2 linked regions of the Drosophila melanogaster genome follow. The protein of the gene in region 1 interacts with the protein of each later gene in a pairwise test. Each region holds a gene or a part of one and is shown in the gene's direction. Other genes may lie near its edges.

What was found.
Region 2: the proteins of mr (region 1) and lmgA interact in a two-hybrid assay, tested with the Drosophila melanogaster proteins (2 studies listed by BioGRID).

What each region holds. Positions count from the first base shown.
Region 1 is NT_033778.4:23,970,130-23,976,528, forward strand, and holds mr (morula), read left to right. Parts: upstream 1-2,301; 5' UTR 2,302-2,379; coding exon 2,380-2,442; intron 2,443-2,503; coding exon 2,504-3,020; intron 3,021-3,076; coding exon 3,077-3,315; intron 3,316-3,390; coding exon 3,391-3,571; intron 3,572-3,630; coding exon 3,631-4,332; intron 4,333-4,383; coding exon 4,384-4,647; intron 4,648-4,712; coding exon 4,713-4,954; intron 4,955-5,010; coding exon 5,011-5,211; 3' UTR 5,212-5,279; downstream 5,280-6,399. Other genes in the region: CG3065 (uncharacterized protein), read left to right, coding at 566-1,768; PPP1R15 (protein phosphatase 1 regulatory subunit 15), read right to left, coding at 5,749-5,958, 6,019-6,399.
Region 2 is NT_033779.5:8,524,499-8,541,530, reverse strand, and holds lmgA (lemming A), read left to right. Parts: upstream 1-13,025; 5' UTR 13,026-13,221; coding exon 13,222-13,479; 3' UTR 13,480-13,571; coding exon of another isoform or gene 13,572-14,669; 3' UTR 14,670-16,532; downstream 16,533-17,032. Other genes in the region: CG17834 (uncharacterized protein), read right to left, coding at 295-1,073, 4,068-4,300, 4,460-4,637, 5,263-5,324, 5,452-5,471; lmgB (lemming B), read left to right, coding at 13,572-14,669; Acer (Angiotensin-converting enzyme-related), read right to left, coding at 16,751-16,788, 16,847-17,032.

The sequences.
Region 1 (6,399 bases):
AAAAAAAAAAGAAACGATGAATAGTTTTATGATCTATCAAACAAAATGTAATTCCATTGCGCTTTATATTGATTTCTTAATGTTAACTACACATTTAGTTTTAGATATTTAACTGTGCTAAACTAATAGCAATCAATAAATACAACATTGAAATCCGATATCTCCGTACACGCATTCAGTCGCATCTCTTGGTCCTATCGACTAGTCGATAATTCTCATCGCAATTAAATGGATATACTTCAGTATATAAATAAAATAAAGTAAAATAAGCAAATCCGCTGGAATATGCAAGCGCGCTAGCCGAAAACAATTGGAAAATGTGTGCGGGACGCCAGGACCGACTATAGACCGTTTTCCGAGCTGGCTATGGTGACAAGGGACCACAGAACTGATAAATCCTAGGCCGACGCCCACTGAACACAGTTTCCTGTACAGGAGTGTAGTTTTGGATAAACGCAATTTTGGTAATTAGGGAGCGGTAGGCGCGCAGCTGGCAGTAAAGTACCTCCACTCTCGATTCCAGACATACCGGATAGGGCGCTAGCGAGCCCCAAACGTAAGCACAATGTCACAAGTAATACCAAACACGCCCACACCCCAAATGCTGACGACATCAACGCCCATAGAACCCATGAAACCACCACCAGCGTTTCCCACGATGAGCGGCGCAAACATACACGAGCAGGCGTCCGATATGATACTGCGGGCCTCGACGATTTTCGAGGACGTCAAGCACGACGAGGCGAATGTGGAGAATGTGCCCCATCACGGAGTTGAGACTGAGCCTGAGGACGACTCGCACTACGGCGGGAACGGCAACTCTAAGATCCGCATAATGCCCAGTGTGAAGCTAATGGCCACGACGCTCGCCTCCGATCCCAAGCGCAAGTTCGTCTGCCCGTATGACAACTGTACAAAGAGCTACGGCAAGAGCTCCCACCTGCGGTCCCACCTCACCTGGCACACGGGCATCAAGCCCTTCGTCTGCAGCGAGCCCAAGTGCGGCAAGGGATTCACGCGCTCCGATGAGCTCAACCGGCACCTCCGGACGCACACCGGCGAGAAGCCCTTCGAGTGCATCCAGTGCACCAAGAAGTTTTCCCGCAGCGACCACCTCACCAAGCACCTAGCTACCCACGACCGCCAGCTAAAGGGCAGCACCCCGAAGCGAACAGTACCGAGCAGCAGTGGTGGAGTCCGGCTCAAGCCCCCGAAGAAGCAGATTCATTCGGAGTCGGACTCGGGCTTCCACTTCATGGCCGCCATGGTTGGTTGCGGGGAGCCGAGCATGAAGCACCACCACCAGCAGCAGCAGCATAACCAGCACCAGCAGCCCGTGAGCATTATCGACATCCACCACAAGCCGATAAAGATTAAGCTGGAACGGCCGGAGCACAGCGACAAGTACCAGATCGTATCTCCTGAACACCAGATGGATAACCATGGCCACAACCAGAGCCAGTTGCCCGATTTCCTTAACCAGGCGAAGCCCGAGGTAAAATACGAACCGACCGAAGAAATTGTAAATACCCTCTCTCAGCTACCGCCGGCGGACGGACCCGGCACGTATGGGATGCCCCAGTTCGTTCAGGATCGGCCTTTCTACTGCCGGCAGTGTGAGAAGCGGTTCAAGCGGCAGGACGACCTCAACCGACACATACGAACGCACACCGGGGAGAAGCCCTACGCCTGTCAGCAGTGCTGTCGCCGGTTTGTGCGGAGCGACCACTTGAAAAAGCATCAGCAGACGCATTTGAAGATACGATAGTTTCATAGTTACTCCTTACTCCTTAAGTCGCTAGCCATTGGCATCCGCATCCAATCGATATTGGCTACCACACGGGCGTGTGTCGGGTGACGCACACAGTACAATAAAATTAAATAAATTCGCAATCTAACTATATTCCTATGCAAGATCAGCGCCGGCTCTCAAATCTCAATTTGTATGTATGTATGTAAATAAGTCGTATGCAATTTAATTTTAGCTCTAACTGTTTGTGTTTGCCGGAACGTGAAGACATACATCTGTATTTCTGAAACTCTTGCTGTTTCTTATTTTCTGGCTACTAAGCTCCCCGTATCTATTAATATAATTTATTTTAGTAAAACTGTTATTTATATTTATGGGCTAATTGATGGGGAACTGATAGTTCATCAGGATCAGGACTCGATCCAGTTTGAAATTTGGAATATGATTAATAATGGCCTATAAGAATGAATAATAGATATATGTATAATTTCTGATAAATCAAAGATTCATCGACTATCGGTTCGGTTGATAGAATCGACTTATCGATAACAGCATTATCATCACCATTGGCGTTTGATTCAGAGTTTCAAGCAATGTTTTGCACTGTTTAAAATAATTACACACAAGCGATGTGCGACTTTGACGCTTTGTGGGCGGATGTACTGAGAATCTTTCCGGTTTTGGGTGGAGCGGTAGGTTTATTCCTTCGGTTCAGTAATAGGGATTGGCGCTAGCACTCAGAAACTCTTACAGAACGCTGTATCCAATGATCCGGTTGAGGAGAATGTATTCCAAAATGTTCGCCAGCACCTGATGGTGTTGGGCAGCATAGACACCTTCGCGGCGGTTGTGGACCTGGAAATCCAGTCGACTATTCGGAATGTCCTGGTGCCCAAGTTCTGGAAGCACATCCACGACGGCTTGGTCTCGTCTAAATTGCAGGGCTGGATTAACGACCAAGCTCTGGCCATAGAAGCACTGCCCGATAAGAACGGACTGTTCACCCAGTTCATCGACGCCATCAATGAGCTGCATGACAGCTTTCAGAGCCTGATGCAGGTGAAGCCCAGGCTGATCCAGCTAGTTGGAGCTGAGACAAAGCCCACCGCAAAGACGGTGAAGCTCATGCAGGAGGAAGGCATTAAGAACTGCTTAAGGGACTGCTTGCTGGCTCAACTGCCACCCAATTTCAGTGTGGTCGTTGGGGCCTTCTACTGGGTGCACTTTAAGCTCTTCACCAAGGCCTCAAATCTCGCATTGACCACAGTTGGTATGTATCCGATACATACTCCTGTGGTTCCCATGCTCACTTGCTTTCCCCTTCAGACTCTGATGTTTTCGATGAGCTCCTCTGCGTTGGCTGCAACTTCGAAGCAGAGCAATGCTGCTGCCAAAGGCTGACGGATATGGTTAACAAGACAAACATGAAGCTCTTCGAGATGAACCTCATTGACCGTCTAACTGGGAGTGCTTTAACCGCTCTCATCAAGCTTAAAATCAAGGAGCACATCAGCGATACATGCATGGGAATCTTCGACAGAAGTCATCTTAAGCAACTGGAAACTGTAAGTTGAATGGGAATACCTTCTGTTGTCATAAATAAACTACTTAAGTAACTCATTTATTACCTACCTTTGCAGTGGCTATCGGATGTCATAATGTCCTGGCTCACAAACATATTCACGGAATGGAAGTCTAAGGATAGCATAAGCGATATCGAAGTTCCCGAGTCTGTAAAATCCTTCAAAGTCAAACTGACTTACTTTATGTACGAAACGTTTGCCCAAAGCGTTATTGGTCAGTTCTTCAGCATTATAATTGGTATGTGCCCGTAGATTCAGCCAAGAGTCCCCCAACTACATGTATTTATTTGTAAACAGACTATCCCGATTCCATTCCGGCTATAGATGACTTAAAGATTTGCATGGAGAAAATAGATATGCGAGTCTACCTCACTGAATCCCTTAGGAACTCGCTAGAGGCAAGGATTCTGCATCCTGGAGTCAACACCATGGACATATTAACGGGTTACGTGGCAGCCATCAAAGCTATTCGCCATCTGGATAGTACCGGAGTCATCTTAGAGATGGTAACTGCTCCAATCAAAGATTACCTGCGGAAACGAAACGACACAGTGCGACGCGTAGTCACTGGGTTGACTGAAGAGGGGCCCACGGACTTATCCGAGGAACTCGCCAAGGGAGAAACAATTAAGGAATGCAAGGACTCGGGTACCGATGAGTTCAGCAACTGGGAAAATTGGCAACCCGATCCGTTTGGTATAGATGCCAGCATTATGCAGTACAACAGCTCGCGGAAGATGAGATCGGCCGACATTATATCGATGGTTGTAGACATATACGGCAGTAAGGAGTTGTTTATGACAGAGTATCGCAATCTAATGGCGGACAGACTGCTGGCCCAGTTAGATTTTAATTCCGAAAAAGAAATTCGAAATCTGGAACTGCTGAAAATCCGCTTTGGCGAATCGCTGCTGCACAGCTGCGAGGTGATGTTGAAAGACGTAACCGACTCCAAGCGAATTAACGCGCACATCCACAGCGATGGCGACCGAACTGAAAGTGAGTTACTTTTAATTTTCAAAATGCTTTAACGAAACCATCTCATTTTAGATCAGTTGTTCGACATCTCCTCGCTGATTGTTTCTGCTCAGTTTTGGCCGTCCTTCAATAAAGAAAGCCTCCAACTTCCTGAGGAGATTGAGAATGAGTTCAAGAAGTACACCAAGGCCTACGAGGCATACAAGGGCAACCGTACGCTCAACTGGCGTACAGTGACTGGCCGTGTAAATATTGAAATCGAGATCGGTGACCGGACCATGGAAATGGTTGTGAGCCCCATTTTGGCGGTTATTATATACCACTTTCAAACTAAGAGTACGTGTTTACAGGGCAGTCAAGTTTTACAGTTTTACAACCGCATGGTCATATTTTTTTTTCAGATGAATGGACTATCGAGGATCTTAGTTCCATTACGAAAGTTCCAGCGTCTGCACTGCGGCGTCGTCTGAGTTTTTGGCAAAACCACGGATTGATCTCGGAAACGACACCCGGAATATTCACGCTGCTGGAAAAGGAATCGGAGAAGTCTCAGTACGAGGACATGAGTCTGGCAGAAGCTGACGAAGAGGATTTGGAATCCGCAATGGCTTCTGCCAGCGATCAAAGGGAAGAAGAACTCCAAGTAAGTGCCTTCAACTGTTCCTAATTCCGGCTTTTTCTTATACAATTATGCCGCAGGTTTTTTGGTCCTATATTGTTGGAATGCTCACGAATCTTGACTCCATGCCAATTGACCGAATCCACCAGATGCTGAAGCTGTTCGCCTCCCACAGCGGCGGAGTGGAGTTTACTCAGGATGAGCTGAAACACTTTCTCCAGCGAAAAGTCAGGGAGCACAAGCTAATATTCTCGGGTGGAGTTTACCAATTGGCCAAATAAGTTTCGGAGATCCAAAACCAAGTTGCAAACGACTGAAGGAATCATGAAATAAATAATGAATTAACGCGATAACATTTATGAAATTTACTGCTCCATGTTAAACGTACCTATTTTTTCAAACTGCCGTCTTATCTGTTTCTATTCAGAGCTTATCTCTCACCCACGTACACACAAAGTCTTTACCCAAACTTGTTTGGCTTGGGAATTTGGAACACAATGCAAGCAATCTTATGTGAAAAGAAGAACACACAGTAAAATACGTCTATTGCTTAATTTATTTCAAGTTATATTAAGGTATATGCTAATCCCGTTATCAACAAATTCAAACTTCTTAGGGCTCTAAAACTAAAGGCGAAGAAAAGTGTACGTGGTTTTGATATACTTTACAGGTTAAACAGTTTTTGGCTTCATAAAATCAATCACGAACGCAGTGGCTAAATCGATCACTTTATACACGCAAACAACTTGGAATTTAATGCTGTAATCGTTCTAAACTGTAATCTGTACATCAAAAGTTACTTCAGGTATGCGGACCAGCTAGTCCTCGTGCAAGAATCGAGCTTGGTAGACACGATCTCGGTGAACTGGAGTCAGGACGGCATTGAGAATGGGTGAAATCCGCCGAATCCGCTGCTGAAAGCGATCCCGATCTCGCGCCATTACCTGCCATTCGCTCTTTCTGGCAGCCCGATAAGCGTAGTCCCAGGCGAGCATTACGTGAACTTCGGGTTTCATGTTGAAACGAACCTGTGCGCATAAATAGGAAATTAGATATGCCCACTTATGCCGCGCAAAAATATTCTTCACCTTCTTGACAGGAGTCGAGCTGTCGTCGCTGCACTGGCAGGCCTTTAGCTCCTCGGTATTTTCATCCTCACCGCATGCTGTAAACTGCACGCTGCTGTCGTCGTCATCATCATCCTCGTCTTCCTCGACATCCTCATCCGCCTGCTCTGCGTCGTCCTCAAAGCAAATGAAGCTGTCCTCACTGCACTCGGAAATACTACGCTGCCGCTGCCAGGAGCTCTTGGCAGCCGATCCTTGCGAACAGCCAGCGTTGTTATTCCGGTCACTGGAGGCTTGACTAGTAGGGCAATCCTCCGCGGTATCCTTAAAGCCGTGGTGCGGATGCAGGTCAATAAAGAAGTAGCACGAGGACGGTACGCAACGCCGCAAGGCGTCCAACTC
Region 2 (17,032 bases), on another chromosome or scaffold:
CTCGCATTTATTTCTTTTAAAATGGTACAAATAGATATCGTTTAGATTTTTATAAAGATTTATTAAGTAGGATCTTTAATCGCTGTTTTTTGTGGTAAAATACAATTTATTTTGTAATATCAATCATTAATTCAAAATGAAGTACATCTGAATACTGAGGAATTGTTTGGACAAGGTCATTGCTTAGAAGATAATACAGAAAACGCATAAGCAGGTACTAAAGGCTAATAAATTTAAAACATTAAAAACATGGACAAAGTGATTAACAAATAAATATGTATATCTGCAGTGCGACTAGTCAACCTGCTTGCCCTCGTCGCGATTTCGTTTGAAGGACACGGAATGAATAAGTAAGGGCGGTAGATTGCCACGCAGCATCTGGAGTCGTTTGCTCTTCTCCTTCTCTGGCCGTCGCAGTTCGTCCTTGGAGGACCCGGGCGAGGCAGAGGACGAGGCCATCGATGGCGACATGGAGGCCAGTGAACTGGCGCCGGGCAGCACCTCAGAGCTCTGGGTCAATAGCATGGCAGATCGACGGAAGTAGCGCGGCATGGAGTAATCATCCTGTGTGGCCCGAGCAGCATTCGCCGTTTGAATGGAATAGAGACTCTGCGATACCCGGTACTTCTCAATAGTGGGCGTGTCCTCGTAGTTCTTAGGCAGATTACTGAACGATATCGATGGCACCTCCGGCGTCATGCTGATCTGACTGCTTCCGGTCATCGTACCGCTAATGGAGAATATATCCGTCTCACTGGCCGACGAACGGACATTCATGTGCGGAACGCTCTTGGCGGATCGCAGGATCCGTTTGGGCGTGGTCGTCAGTCCACTGGGGTTGGCCAGCAGATGAGGATGCCGGTCGATGAGGCGAGGTCGCAGCACCACCTCCTCCATGATCTCCTCCTCCTCATCGGCCTTGTCGTCCTCCTTCTCCTCCTCGGCAATGGCCTCGAACTTTTTGGGAGTAAGTGTCGTTTGGCTACCCGACGGCGAGCATTCGGCCGAACTGGGAGCCAGGGTGAAGGTGATTCGCTTCTCGGTCGATCCTGTTCTCGCATCAGTGGCATCTCCTGCAAAAAGAAGATATACTCCGTTTAAAAAGTGTTCTGCATTTGCAAGTAACTAAACCCATATTATTTAGAGATATTGTCCTGATTTCATTGTACCCTAATTAGCCAGCTGCCAGAGAGGACAATATTATCTTTGGAAGAGTTGGAAAAGTAGATGCCATTGTAAGACGCATAAAAGGTTGGCAAACAAGATAACGGTTGAGTTCATGGCAGATAGGAAAGATATGTGCAGATAATAACTAGCCCTCGACTTTGGCTAAAATGGAAATTTTAGAGGCGGAACTTACTAGTTAAGTTTTATAGTAAATTTAATAGATTATTAGTCTTGCCTTCTTTTGACTTAATATTTCTGTACTCTTAAGATTTATAAATTTAATTTCATTTGACAACAAATACCCAAGCAATTGGGTAAGATGCATTTAAGCATCAAATGAGTCGTACCTTATCAGTATTATTTTTTATAGTATTCATTCTGATTCAGTCAATATTTTAGTATATAATTGCAATAAAATTTTGTTTCTTTATTTGGATAACAACATTGCGCTTTCAAGGCAAGTCATTTTCAAATATGTACATACTTAGTAAAGTCGCTTTGATAGTTTATTTGTGAAATGAAACTTAAAAGTAGGATAAAATTTAGCTGCAGTTAAAGATTATACTAATTCTGTTATGTAAAAATATGTATAGATACTTATGAAATCATTTAATTTACTGCCTAATAATTCTTAATCGGTAACTACTTAGATTTTGTTTTGAGAAAGCAAAATGTGTTAAACAATACAATATGACGTATGATTTAAGTATCGTCAAGACCCCCGACAATAAACGTCAGCTTTATAAGGTATAAGGTATAGGGTTCTGACGAAATAATATGATGTAGATGTGGAAATACTTAAAACAAAACAGCTATAAACTGTATAGGAGCCATTGACTGGCGAATCGGAAAAGTCATCCGACATTAGCAAGAGAACGTGATGACTACGTGAATGTAATTAAGATATCTCATACACACGTATGTATAACAATATAATTTACAAGTATAAATAAAAATGAAAATAGTACCGTGCATAAAACTTAATTGACAACTGAAACTGGGCTATTTATTGTTTACTGATCGCTGTTATTGTTTCGTTTTATTTCGAAATGAAACCTGAGATTATTCGAACATACAATCAATTAAACGCGATTTGTTAAATATCGATACATACAACACCTGCTGTTTAAATATTTTTAATTGAAAAGATCAATATATAATTGTATATTTAACATGCATAATATGAAGACGGAATTTATTTTCTATAGATATACTGATGTATTGATTATTTTTCAATTAACCTAAAACAAGTGAAGATGATATCTATATGTTATCATTTTTGCTTGGAGTTTTTAAATGTGTTCTATAGAATGAAATGACAGCTCTAAAGTTCTACAAATTTGACGATTTCTTTATTTTTATCAGCTAAGGAGGAATCGATTGTTAGCATGCAAAAACTGATTACCAGCTCGAGTTTCTTATCTATAAAAAAAATTACCTATACGTGTATTTTTGACAAAATACATAAATGGGCAGAAATATTCATATTGCATGGGTGTTTATTTGCTGTTAACACTCTTTTATATGGTCTCGATAAGAAAATCGAATATTTGACTAATTACGTTTGGTTCGTTTTGCTGATGGAATGGGCTTGGTGGCATAAGTCGGTCGCTGTGATTAACCATTTGCGAATATTGCGATAAATCAGTGGCGCAGGCCTAATAGCCCATTAAATCATCTCCAATTGCCAATGGTTTTATCTCTGCTTCCAATTGTGATAACAAATGTGTGACGTGCCGCAAAATATGTTTCTTTTTTTTATATATAACTCCAGATGAAACCAGTACCTTAAGGTGCTGTCTGCGTCATTGAGAAATAAAATTGTTAATTAAATTTGGACTCGGATCCAGATTTGTTCTTTTCCGCTCTTCCTCGTTTGGAGGTTCGAACTTCGAATGAATGAATTTCTTTTTTTTTTAAGCCAAATGGGGTTAATGGATTGTGAGTCAAGCCTGCGGAAAAATTTGGATTGCAAAAATTTGTAATAATTGTTTGAGCAAATGTGAAATTTGCTTTTCATATCGTCTTCGAAATTTGTTCATATATTGCTTATGCATTTTTTAGATTCCCTTTTTAATAAGCCAAGACTTTATTTGATTTTCGTAGATTCTCAGTGAAATCATTTCAACCACTTCTGAGAAATCTATCGAAAAACTGAACGCTTAGAATGTGAATATGTTTGACTAAGCGATCCCAGTCCCATGCAATTAGTAAAAGCTGTTGAGTAATGCCAACTTGACAAACAAAGCAATTGTTCAAAGTGCACAAAACAATTTGCTAAAATGATGGTAGGCGCGATTTAAAGGCACGACGATGTTGTATTAATCAGAACTTTTACGTAAAGATGAAGTCAGTAGTCAGTCAATTTAAATAGCACCTAAATATATATAAAATATGTGGAGCGTAAAAGTGAAAACCAAGCGAAAATTTTGTTTAAAAACTTTATGAAAATCATACTGTTTGCTCTTTGTCGCTTAGGACTAAACAATTACAAGGTCCAACAATTAAGACTTAAATGGTAAACGTTTAAGCTAACTTAAATTAGGCTACTTAGGAGTATAGATAATACTAAATGCCAGTCGCACTGGCATTGCTGTCTCTATCGAATATTGTGTAGCAACACTTACAGCTAATTAGTTAATAATATTAAGTCACATTTTGGCGATATTGGTCACTCTCCAATTGATTATATCCGCATTGCGAGAGTTCCTCAATCTTTGGCACAAATACTGCTAGTACCCATTGAACCCCAAAACCCATCGATGTTCAGTTCAGATAGAACTTGACCTTGGGCACACCGCTGGATACGATGCTGCTGCTGCGGGTGCTCTTGCCGCTGCTTTTACCATTAGCAGCACCACCCAAAAGTGGGGTGTGTGCACCACTGGGGCCATCATTACCTTCCAGACGTCGCAGCAATCGATCCTGATCGCTGAGCCGCGGAGTTGTCGGCATTTCGCGATTCGGCGAATGGATTCCGGCCAGATAGGTCTTGGTGCTGATCCGGTTCAGCTTGGTGGGCTGATGGTCCTGGAAGATTTGCGAATTGGCAAAAACCGCCAGTATCTCCGGTCCCAGGTTGGGCACATTGATCTGTGTCTCCCGACGATAGTCCTCCTCGTGGATCTTGGCGCTAAAAGGGCCACAAAGAAAACAGATATTGGTTATAATGTCAATTGATATGGCCAACAGTAAGCCAACACGAGCATGCCAATTAATCGCTAATCGCCAGCCAACCAAACAAAGTGCGAAATGCGATCTCTGGATTGGGATTTGATCTATCTATTAGTACCTCATTAGGCTCAGGCCCAAGCTCGAGTTGCCCTGCCTCATTTGCGGCTGATCGCAAATCGGTTGGGGCACCGTCAGCGAATTATTATTATCCACCGATGTCGGTTGTATGCGTCCAATGATCTGGCCATTTTTCCTGGACGCCAAGTAGTCCTCGTCCTCCTCGGGATTGTAGTTGGCTGAGAGGCAAAGAAAGAGCAGAAATTAGTAAATGAAAAAACCGTAATCTTATAAACAAATTTATTCCAGAAACTTCCGAGTCTTCTCTCCTTGAATTTCATTTTCAAACAAAATGTGAGTCTTCTACAGAAACGAATTTGATCTAAGCTATAAGCCCAACTCTACCTCTGGAATATTCTATCGTTAAATTCTTTTAAGTACTTATTATTATTCATTTTTTTATATAAAATAATAAAACTATTTTGCCTTTCTATACATGCAAGCATTTATGTAAACAAAACTTGTCGCAGCTTACTTAAGCGCAACTTTTTAAGATACTCTATATGCAAGTTTGGCAAAAGTGCCATAAAACTGATTTATCAGCTTGTGTTTTATTTTTTCCTTTTACGACTCGTACTCGATTTCAAATGCCAAACACGTTAAATCGCGCAAAAATCGCCGTAGCATTGTGCGTTTCAAGATCTTATTAGTTTCTTGTATGTGTGTGTGTGTGAGGCGTGCGAAGAGAGTGAGTATTTGAGTGGCAGTAGCCGAAGTACTCGTACTCGTACTCATTTTCAGGTAACCGTAACCAGAGTATCCGTATCCGTCAACTGCCCAAATCAAAAAAGCTCAAAAACTTACCGATGGATTCGTCGTAGCAGAAACGCTCCTCGAAGCAATTCCAGTAGAAATCTTCCCAGCAGCTACAAATGGAAATGGATAAAGAAAAGGCAATTCGGAATGTGTGTTAGCCAGGTGAATTGTTGGCTCGAATGCGGAGCAAGTTGTCAAGCGTGGTGGGGTAGGGGGAAATTCGTAGCGTTTACTCACTTTTGACAGCAGCGGCACATTTTGTTGTTGGCTCCCTACCGCTCTTCCTCTTCCTCTTGTTTTCTTGACTTTATTTACTCTCCGCTCGAATAAAAAATGAAGAGAATCCGAGTCCGAAAATCGTTGTTGTGTTGTAACAATGCTTTGATTAATTTATGATTTCTGTTTGGGAATAATAAATTAAATTCGGATTTGTTCGACGAGGACGAGTTATGTTGTTATTGTTTTTATTGCCTTTCTGCGGAGGAACGTGCGGTGCGTGTGACTCGTTCCAGAAATTTTTTTTCAGTGGCGAGCGGTGAGCGTGTGAAGACAGCTTTTATCGGCACATGAAGTGGCCCCAAATCGCGCTCTGATGGCGCTCTCCACCCGCTCTCCACTCTACACTGAGGGAAACACGCTACTGAATTTCAAGAAATTGGTTTTTGATTTTCGAAACCGTATTTTAAAATAACAATATGTTCTTATGAATATATTAAAATATTTTTTAACAAAACACTCAAATATTTTGTTTTATGTTTTTAGAAAAACGAATTTATTTATTTGAATTGAAGCGTAGTTCAATAGCGTCGTTGCACCAAAATATTGCTCATACGACACGTTTACCTTGTAAAACCATAACCAATTCCCGGCTATTTTTTTAATATGTCTCGATTCGTTTAAATATTTGTTAAATAATATCATGTAAAGAAATATTTAATTTATAATTTTTTACTGAGAATAATTTTTCCATGGACATTTTTTGAGTGTACGTGTGTGTGATAAAAGTGAGTACGTTTGAGAGGAGCTACTGGAGAACGCTCTCTTTCACCCACTTTATGAACTCATCTCTCTGGAAGTGGAGCTATGGCAGGGGGTGGTGGGCTGGGGCAGAGACATTTTTAGAGAGCCATTGATCGATCGCGCATGATAGATTACTGCCAGAGAGTGATGATTTTGCGACAATTTTTAACTATTTTAGGCGCTCTTTTGCTCTCCCCATTAAACAGCGCCAACTCTCTCTTTACGCGCTCTCTTGTGCACCGTGGGTCAGGTGGCGAGAGGCGCGTCCACAACATTATCAGATTAAAATTGCAAGAATATTTTATAATTTATGAGCAACCGTTATCTCATTCTATACCGTTCAGCTTAAATTCCGTTCGCATTATTTCGCAGACATTCAAGGAGCTTAACGCGCAGTTTATAGACAGTGTTAATTTTAATAATGTAAATGAAGAAAACAATATGATAGAAAATATATAATAAGCATGGACTAATGTAGTTCAATGTGGCCTACTCTTGTCCCACTGTAACTTGTTGCAGTATTGTGACACCTGCTCAAGCCTTGCACTTCTGTCGCGTGTGTGTGTGTGAGTGGTGGGCGTGTGTTGGTGGAGTAATTGAAACTTTTTAAACTTGCACCGTGCACACACGAAGATAACCTCGCTACACATGTACTCGTGTTTGCCTGCCTGCGTTTACTTAACGCTTTGAACGATAAGCGTTTCTGCAAATTGAGGCCACATTCTCTGCACAGGTGAGTGCGTTGAGTGGTGGGAGGCGTGGAATCCACCCAAGGTTCGCCAATAAGCATACTTTTGGGCTGATGAAAAATCTCCTTTACTCACAAGCTTCGCCTCTTTGCTATCAGCGTTTTCTCTTCCTTACAATCTTATCAATAGATTGCAAATTCAGTTTTGTAAACTCATATCAATAGATTACTAATTCAGTTTTGTAAGTTCTTATCAAAAGATTGCTAATTGAATTCAAACGAGCTGATAAAGGACAACTCCCTAAACAGAGTTCAACAAACTGAGCCGTGAGACCAAGTGATCAAGTGCAGACGAATGCGTTTATTATTACTAGTTAATTCGTAAATGACTACTTTCATTGCGCCAGCTTAACAATGTTTTGTTGCTCAAACCTCTTTTTTGGTTTATCTCCAAGTTCATTCTACGAACCTAATCTCTGAATGCAGATAAGTTAACTCCCCGATTTGATTTGACTTTAAGGTGTCAAGAACCAAGACAATTGTTTGCCGGTTGTAAAGATATGTTTAACACCGAAAAAAGAAGAAATTTAAACATTCGTGTGTTAGCTTCTCCTGAGTTCATAGACCACAGCGAATCATGATCATGTGAGACCCAGCTGCGACAATCGATCAATTGTTTGTCTTTTGATAAAGCCGTAGATATATTCGTAGCATTCATAGCATTCGAAGCATTCGACGACAGTTGAATTGAAAAGCGCTCAACACTCATTAAACTTGCTACGATGACGTGAAAGGGGTTGGGGGTGGGGCCATTGGTAATTGAATGTCAATCAGCTGCGCTGAAATGAATAGCACTCATTTTGTTGCTACCTTTTCGTTGTCACTGTTACTTTAAGCCGTGTAATGCAATTTGTTGATGTCTACACGTTTTATGCGTGAAACTCATTCCAACTCGAATGGCGTTATGCGTTATACAACACACCACGAGGGGGGTTGGAGAAATATTGGAATTAGGTAAGCTAATGGGATTTCAGAAGCAACAGTGATTCCATATAAAATTTTTCTTTTTATGACAACTTTTTCACTAGAAAGTGTATTATAACCAATTTAGTTCTGCCTTACAATTTCAAAACTTCAATTTTTTCGAACTCACTTTTATGCTATTTTTAGTTTCTGCATAAAGTGTTCTTACTTAAAATCTCTATAAATTAAAACTTAACTGTAATTATAAATTAACTTGACATAAATGTGAATTACCTTGAAACAAGTCAAACAACTTTTGCTAAAGCAAAGTGAAAAAATCATAATTTGTGGATAAAAGCTTAGCCACTTAGTCAGCTTCCACTTGCCATATACCAACCCTTTTCCGAGTCATTAATTGGGGTAAACAATTTAAAAGCATTCAGCGAAAATCATTTAAGTTGTCTCTGTCTTTTTAATGGGCTGTGAAAAGTTTGCGATTAATATCTCGTTAAGCAAACCTGACAAAGCAAACAGCATTTTGTGGATTTGTAGTTCTTTAATTTTCTTTTAACCTGACCTTTGAACTGGGTCGAAATTGAATTGTTTTGGTAATTTGACAGAAAAATATCGCATGCCACAGGTAAAAAATTTGCGATCGAATACTTCCGCACAGAGTGAAAAACAAATTCAGCACCAAAACTGAAATGCGAACAATAACAATCGGATTACAATGTATAATTTCGCGAGTCACTCGAGCGATGCATGCAATGCGGTGAATTCTTTCAAACAAAATTACAATAAAAACGAAACTGAAATTCATATGCATAACCCATTTCCACAATTCAGATGGAAATCATTCCTAGGCTTTGGATTAAACTATTGAGCTATAGCTCAGCGGTTTCTTTTTGAAAGATTGCGCTTTATGCACTTTACTTAATTAACTTTTAATACGCCTGTCGGTCATCCCTTTCCCTCTCTTTAACCACATAAAAGATTTTACGACAACCAAACGAGTTTTGTGGCAGTAAAAAATATATATGTACACGCCCATATATAATATAATAAACGACGAAATGAACATTATCTAGAATCTCTCACTGGAAAATCACCGAAAAGTTTAAAAGCGTAAAAAAGTTGGCTTATTTCTCTGTTTTTTTTTTTGCATTGCAGGAGAGAAACGAGTATTTTTATCAACATGATCTATTATATTATTCATTATTCCATTTCTATCGTGTGTTTGCTAAGTAGAAATTCAAATCGAGTTCCCACTTCATTTAATTGAGCTTGGCATTGTTCGAAATATTGCGAGGCTAAAAATGCACATATGTATCTACATTTAAGTAAATAATGAATGATAACATATATGGGTATAGAAAATTCCTGAGTAACTTAACATTTCTAATGCTCTTACAAGTTTTTAAGAAGTATTTGTGAGAATTTTGGAAACTTTTATTATCACCTTTTGGGTATTAATATCTCAATCTGATTTACGATGCTTGGGTTCAATTCCCCTCATTTTGGATACGCATTTTCCGGCTTCGAAAATCAACAGATGGTTGTTTGCTGTTGATTTTTGGATTAAGTCTGAAGTGTAAATTACAATAACCCGTCAAATAAAATCATTCACACGCAACGGGCATCTCGGAATCAGTCTCTATAACTGCCCAGAAAGATCGAACCCAGGTGTCATTAACCGCAGCCCGACTTGCAACTTGGTTATGAACATGTGTATGTTATATACATATATATATGTATATAGTGCTCCGATCGGTTCATGGCAAACTAAAAACCCCAGACGACAAGTGGCGTGCATTGGCCTCGTTTCAGTTTTTAGGCTTTGACAGGCATCAGACATCAGAGACTGACTTGTATTCCGATCGAGTTGGACCTGCATTGCCGTCGAGTTTCACTTGGCAACCGAAAACTTTCCGCACCCTGTCGTTTTCGCAACTGCAGATCGATTCTCGAGTGTTTTTTTTTATATCTTTTAGTTTTTGGAGCACGCGCGTTGATCTTTGTTTATCTTATGAATTAGTAACTCAAACTCAAGCGTAATGGACCGCACAAATATTTTCGATTCGTGTCTGTCGTCGGCTGGACTTGCTGCCTTAATAGCCATTTTGTTAGCATTAATAACTTTTAAATGAACGAGCAAGAAATCGATTATTCATAACATTCACTTGGAAATCAAAATATACTTTCCATTAAGCTACCTGATAATTCAAAAAGGGAAGTTCTGAAGTTATTCTCAACACACCTTTATTTAATGAATGAAACCGGAATTAAATTTTAAAAATAAGTCAGCTCAATAAACATCAATAATTGATAATGCAAAATCAAGGATTGTTAAAGGGTATTAAATCTTAAATTAAATCTTTTAAATACTTTTAAGGCATAAGTATGAAAATGATTTTAAGATAGTGCCACAAATTTCCCATTGAGAAATAAACTTCACCTTGTTGCTCCACAACGTTTACCGTAATCAATTAATACACTAAAACAAAATGTTTTTTGGTTTCTTATTCACAGAGATAATAGCTGCAATTAACAGCAAAGGTTCCCTTAATTGTTTGCCCATTAATTGAGTGGATCGAAAAGACCCTGAATATAAAAGTAATTCCAGCGTAAACGGGAAATACTCTACGTGAATCTGAATCTGTTTCTCTAGAATTCAGAATCTCATGACATTACATTCCCCTTCTAAATGCTGCGGCTAGAACGATTAAATCGTACTTTTTTATGAATGAATGCAATTTATGTAGGCGATCCTCGATTCCATTGTGATCTTTTCAGTTCCGCGATTTTGTATCACTGTCTGTTTTCTCAGGTGTGTGAGTCACAGGTGTCTCATAAGTAATTTTTACTTGAATCATTCACTCAGAGCACGTTCATCCTCCAAGATGCTTCCTTAAAATACACTGCGAGTAATCGTATATACATACATATGTATACACACTTATCTCGTCCAAATCTGCCTGACAAGTATTTTGTTTGTCAACCCATTTGCTTCAATTTTTATCAGTAATCACTTGATTGTTCACGACCATATAGCGCGGGTACTAAAGCTATATTATAGCACTTATTTCTATTTCGTCTGACGATAATGCAGCTTGTCCTCACCACACCGTTTGCAAGGCAAATGCAACGCCCGATTTCGAAAGTCTTTTGACTAACTTTAATTTTGAAGCGTATGGCTTTAGCACGATAACAACAATTTTTCGGTTGTCTACGATTCTAGATTAGATATGACATGACGAAAGGAAGAGTTCGGAAATGTTAACGACCAAAAACTAATCGTGGGGATATATACAATCAATCAAATTTGTGTCGAAAGGCATGATAAACAGAAACAGTTGGGTCGACTAAATAAACTTGGTAGTTTCTGAACATAGTTAGTATTTCAAAAGTGTTTATCTCTTAACGTTATTAATCACTTTTTTTTAACATTATGAGTCAATCTAGTTTAGGATTAAGCATGCGAGCACCAATAGCCATAATTCGATGAGTCATAACCAAATTCACAGCTTCAAAGTGTTGTCTGGTTGCAAATTGTTTATTTGGACTCGTATCTAAGGCGCTAAAGAGTTTAAAAAATCCGTCATTTCATAATTGTTTGTTTATTAGCCACATTTTATGGACGAGGCACATGACAAGGCAAGCCAATTCAAAGTGAAATAAATCGCAAATATCGATTTGAAATTTCGCATTGCAATTGCAATGAAAACTGATGTTCACAAACAAACACATCATGTTTTTTATGGATGCCTTATTGGTACACTGTATGTAAGTGATTCGCAGAATTCGAGAAAATCCCGGGCGTGACCAAAAACCGGAACACCAAGTCAAGTAGCAGAATCTCCCTGCAAGGCGCAAACGGTTTTTTCCAGAAACAGGCGGCACAAAGAGTTCAATAAACTGCAACATAAATTCTTATGCTAAATAATTGCTATCATCGAGTGGTTTTTTTTTTTGTATAGGTGGGTTGTGAGGGGTGTTTACTTGTTCTTGGAAAATCACGAGGCTCTGGCTCAGGGTCAACAACGTGTTGTATGGCGCATTATTGGGCTTATTTTTAATATTATTCTTGCCTGTATGGGTGTGTGTATTCAAGTGCGTTTTCAATTACAGGTTCTTAAACAACGCTCTGCTGTTGAACTTCACTTTTTGTGTTTTGATTTAATTTCACTCTCACAAGATCGTTCACTTCGCAGCGGCACCTTTCGATTAGTACACAACTCTAAATCAACTCCGTTTCGCAGGCACTTTCTTTTCACTCACAAGGGTTTTTTTTATTATATGCTGATCTCGTTCGCAGTTCCACAGAACCTTTGCTAAAAACTGCGTCACACTTGGACAAAACACAAAAGCAATTTTTGAGCAATAATGATCACGCTTTGCACGCGAAATTGTCGAAAAAACACAGTGGGAAAAACGGGTAAAGCTCGACGATCGATCGATCGAGCTGCGCGCACGTCTGTCGGGTTCAACAATCGTCGGCTAACTGAATGCGAATAAACCGGAGACAACAACTCCATCAGCCCCCGACAACAAAACAACACAAGGCAGCACCCCCCTAAAGCCTCGTCCAATCCGATGGAGCATGAGCATAAGCTTTCGGAAGTTGTTTCAGACACGATTCGCTCGCATTGCTGATTAAAGATCTGACCTGGGTTCCGACCTGTCATTGCCGAAAATTGTAATTGATGGCCCAGCGGCTTCGAGAACGTGGCCTTGATATTGAAAATACTACTGTTCAACTATTACTTATCCGACAAGGAATGACTTATTTTAACTATAGCAGAAAGGTTTTTAATTCACCTGATTGTTTCAAATAGTACTTTATCTATGATTTCTTATAAACAAACCAAAGTTGAATACTCCCGCCAAGGATCGATATCTTTTTAAAGTACGGTAGATGTATATATAAAATCGATAGCTCTATGAACTGCTTACAAATGCCCATGTCTATGATCAATAAATATCACTAAGAACACATCAAATGTACTTTGTTACAATATTCAATAATCAATACTATACTAATATACAATAAATAAAAATATATCGTTTACTATAACAGGTCATCCCAAGTCGCACTGCTTGTCCGACGGCTTAACTCCATCTACACAGCGTCCATCTCTAAGTCCAATCGGCCAATCGATAATCGGACCTATCGACCTATTTTCAGCAGCCTAACTAAAGAAAAAAGGCAATATTTTGCAAAAAACATTCGGAAACGGTCGAAAAACACCCGCTTCATTGGCCAAAGGAGCCGTATTCCGTGCAACGCAAAGCGGCGACAAACCAGACAATTGCCGTGTGAGACAAATGTGCGCAAAATGAAAGTGACAATCAAGTCATGGACGGGAGTTGCAACTTGGCGTTGGATAGCGAATGACGAGAACTGCGGTATCTGTCGCATGTCCTTCGAGAGCACCTGCCCGGAGTGCGCTCTGCCCGGTGACGACTGCCCGCTGGTGTGGGGTGTATGCTCTCATTGCTTCCACATGCACTGCATCGTCAAGTGGCTGAACCTGCAACCGTTGAACAAACAGTGCCCCATGTGCCGCCAGAGCTGGAAGTTCAACGTGCATTAAGAAGCCCGCGTTATAGTTCTAGTTACTAAATACCCGTGAGGATCAGGATCAGCAGTAAGAAGAAACCGTAGAGACATAGTAAGCTTTATCAAATGATGGAGAACAGCAGCAACGATGCCCAGCCGCACTTGACGGGTCTGCCGCCACTGCCAAAAAGTCTGAGCGCCGCTACGGCGGCTCCTGTGGCCATTGGCCCCCATCCCCGCACAGCCTCGCCGGCGTCCAGTGTTAACGCACTGACCGTAGCCGCCGGAGAACTATACCTGGGCCCCTCCACCTCCTCGTCGGCGGCATCACGAAATCGTAGCTACAATGGACACGGACACAGCCAGCGGCACGGTAGTCTTTCGTCCACGCAGGAGTCGCTCAGTGATCGGGAATCTGTGCACAGTCGCGCTTCCAGCACCCACAGCGCTGGGGCTGTTCACACACCCACTAACAGCTCGAGCAGCACTGGAGCCACCTCGTCGACCATCGACAACCAGTTGGCCATTCTGCGACGGGAGATGTACGGTCTGAGGCAGTTGGATCTGTCGCTGCTGTCCCAGCTGTGGGCGCTAAACGAGTCGATACAGGGATTCCGTGTGTTCCTGCAAGAGCAGGACGCACTGTCGCCGCCCTCGAGGTCCCGTACTCCATCGGATGCGAATTCCTTGAGCTCCGACGAAGAGGACGATGGCTCCTATGCGCCAGTAGCCTTGCCTAAGATGACAGATACTGCCGGAGCTGGGAGTGCGGGAGTTGTGAATTCCAGGGCCATGGCCTCGCCGGCAGCCAGCGGAGGACTGCCCACAAAACTGGCCACTGGCTCGACCACTTCCCACGCCTCAACTAGCTCCACATCAGGAGCCTCTGGCTCCTCATCCGCTGCCTCCTCGATGGGGAAGCACCAACAAGTGCAGCAGCAACAACAGCAACAGTCGCAATCGGCTAACCACTACCATCAGAGGCCAGCGCCACCACCCGCACCACCAGCTCAGCACAAGGCGCATCCACAGTTGCCGCGCATCCTGCAGCAGCGCATGAGACAGGCACCGCCACCGCCGCCACCCACAAGGCAAAAGGCGGGCGGCGGTGGTGGAGGCGGAGCGAGCACCAGCAGCAGTAACCACAGCATCAGCAGTGTCACCCAGCCGCATCCACATTCACACCAACATCCCCAACATACCCACCATTCGCGACCTGTATGACAAAACCCGTTCTTGGACTAAGCCAAGTTCAAGAACATAAGCAGATTTACATAGCAGCCGCTGCCAACACTTCGGAAAGGGTCAATTAGACGACATTTCTTCAAGAGTCAATTCAAATTCAAGTGCAGAAAGATCCCACACACACAACACTCACTCTATCAACTCAACTATCAACTCATAAAGCTTGCCATGGTCCCTCGTTCTTGATATTGAATCTCGAAACATATGAACGGTTTATAAATGTTTTTTGCAAAACGATGAAAATGTCTTTGAATGTAAGCGTACCACTTTTCACGTTTAATATTAAATAATAAACACAAAAAATTTGTATTCAATAATAATCGCTAAGTAGTAAAGGATAAGATCCTTATATGCATCTATGTATTACTCAAATTGTATAAACATAAATCTAAAATGCTTGAAATTCCGCATCGAATTCATAGATCTAGTTATATTATTTGCGTTGACTCTGAAATGTTTTGTTAGAATGCATACTATCCAACAACAAAAACTAAATCAAATTGTTCCAACTCATGTAGCACTAACCAAAACTAAACTCTTGGCCTATACATATGAATATCTGGATTGATTTTATAGCCCTGTTAAGACTTAGTTTCGTAATGGCGTATCGATTGGAAAATTATATATTACGAACATGTATCTGCATCTCAAAAGCAAAATCTAGCTGATCTTACTGTTAGTCCAATAATCCTATCATTAAAAATACAACAACAAAAAAAACTAGGCATATATATGTAAAGCTCAAGTATTGGAGCAAATCCCCCGAGCAGTTGTGCAGTGCGTTTCAGATCTATAAGTCAGTTGCATGTTCCGCGAAGCAGAAAACCATTTTAAACTAGTTTCGGTTGTATATTTTTCCAATTTGTTCAAAAATCTTACTCCGCAATCATGGATAACTGCCTTGTAAATGTGGAACGCATTGCATATAATATTTATATTCTAAATACATATACAATTTTTACCAAGTAACAGTTACATTGATGAAAATGCAGTAGATACCATCGGTATCTCCCATATCACAAGCATAAAGCGGGAGATTGCGAAATGAAAACAGATTTACATATATTACCTAATCAAAAATGATACAATTTCCAATATTTATTGTTAGTTCTTAGATTGTTTTATTTCTCAAAACAAATTCCTTATAATCTACTAAAATTAAATCACCCTATGAAGTTAAACGATTGGAATTAAAATCCACACGATCATATTTGACTGTTCTTTATTTCGTTATCATATACACACTCCTCCAACAGAGACTACAAATCAAAATGTGCGGAAATTTGATACCAACCAGATCACAAAAGCATCGATATACAAGCAGAAATCATAAATATACTGCAGCACAAGTCGCAAAATGTAATCACTGATCAAGCTTTGAATATCTCGGCTGGAATATGACCTATAAGGATTTAATGTAAGGTTAACCAGTTAACAAATACATTTTCTTGAAAGCAATAGCTTATCATTTTCGATGGTCAGAAAATTTTAGAAGTCATGACTTGATTTCCGTTTTAGCAAGACCTTTAGAACTGTTTGGTAACCTATAATTTTTTATAGTGTATTGTATTCTATACTTTTTGTGTTGTATACAACAACAGCTTCCATTAAAGATCATATTTTATTCGAGTTATTCAAAGTAGCATACGGTTAGAAGCATCAAATAAATTTGAGATGAACTTTTGAGCGCTTTTGCTGTGTACAAAAAGGCAAGCAAGATATCGAAAATTTACACTGACCGAAACATATACAACTTTGTGGTTGAGATAGAAACACAATTCACGAAAGGCTATAATTTATACAATTTTGTTTATGACGAAAGTTGGTGGGTGAGATATCGTTAAAAAGTGTATTATGTAATGGCAATTTATTAATAAAACGAAACGAAACGATACGAATGAATCGATACAATAAATATCAATTTAAATATCAATGCGCATATGCTGTGAATTAATTATCGTTCTTATCAAGTTTATTTTGTTTGTTCCTAATGACAGACTAAACCAATATATTTGTTTTCGGGTTCTAATAACCTCAAGTCAAGTTTGGGATGGCTCAGTCTAGGTGCTAAACGTTCCACAGCAATCAGATGGGATTTCTGCAAAGGGATACAGTAAATTATAGTTAGCAGTTACTGTTTAAATTCAATTACTCACTGTCTGTTGGTCCCCAGCCCAATGGCACACCCAAGCGGCTATTTTCCTGCTTAAGCCACTGGTAGAGCGGTTCAAAGTACTCCAGCAGAGCGGCTGGGTCCATTTCCGTTTCGCCTGTAAACTCCTCCAACACCTCCTTCCAATGGCGTGAGTTGCCCTTTGAGAGGAACTGGCTCAGTGATCGTC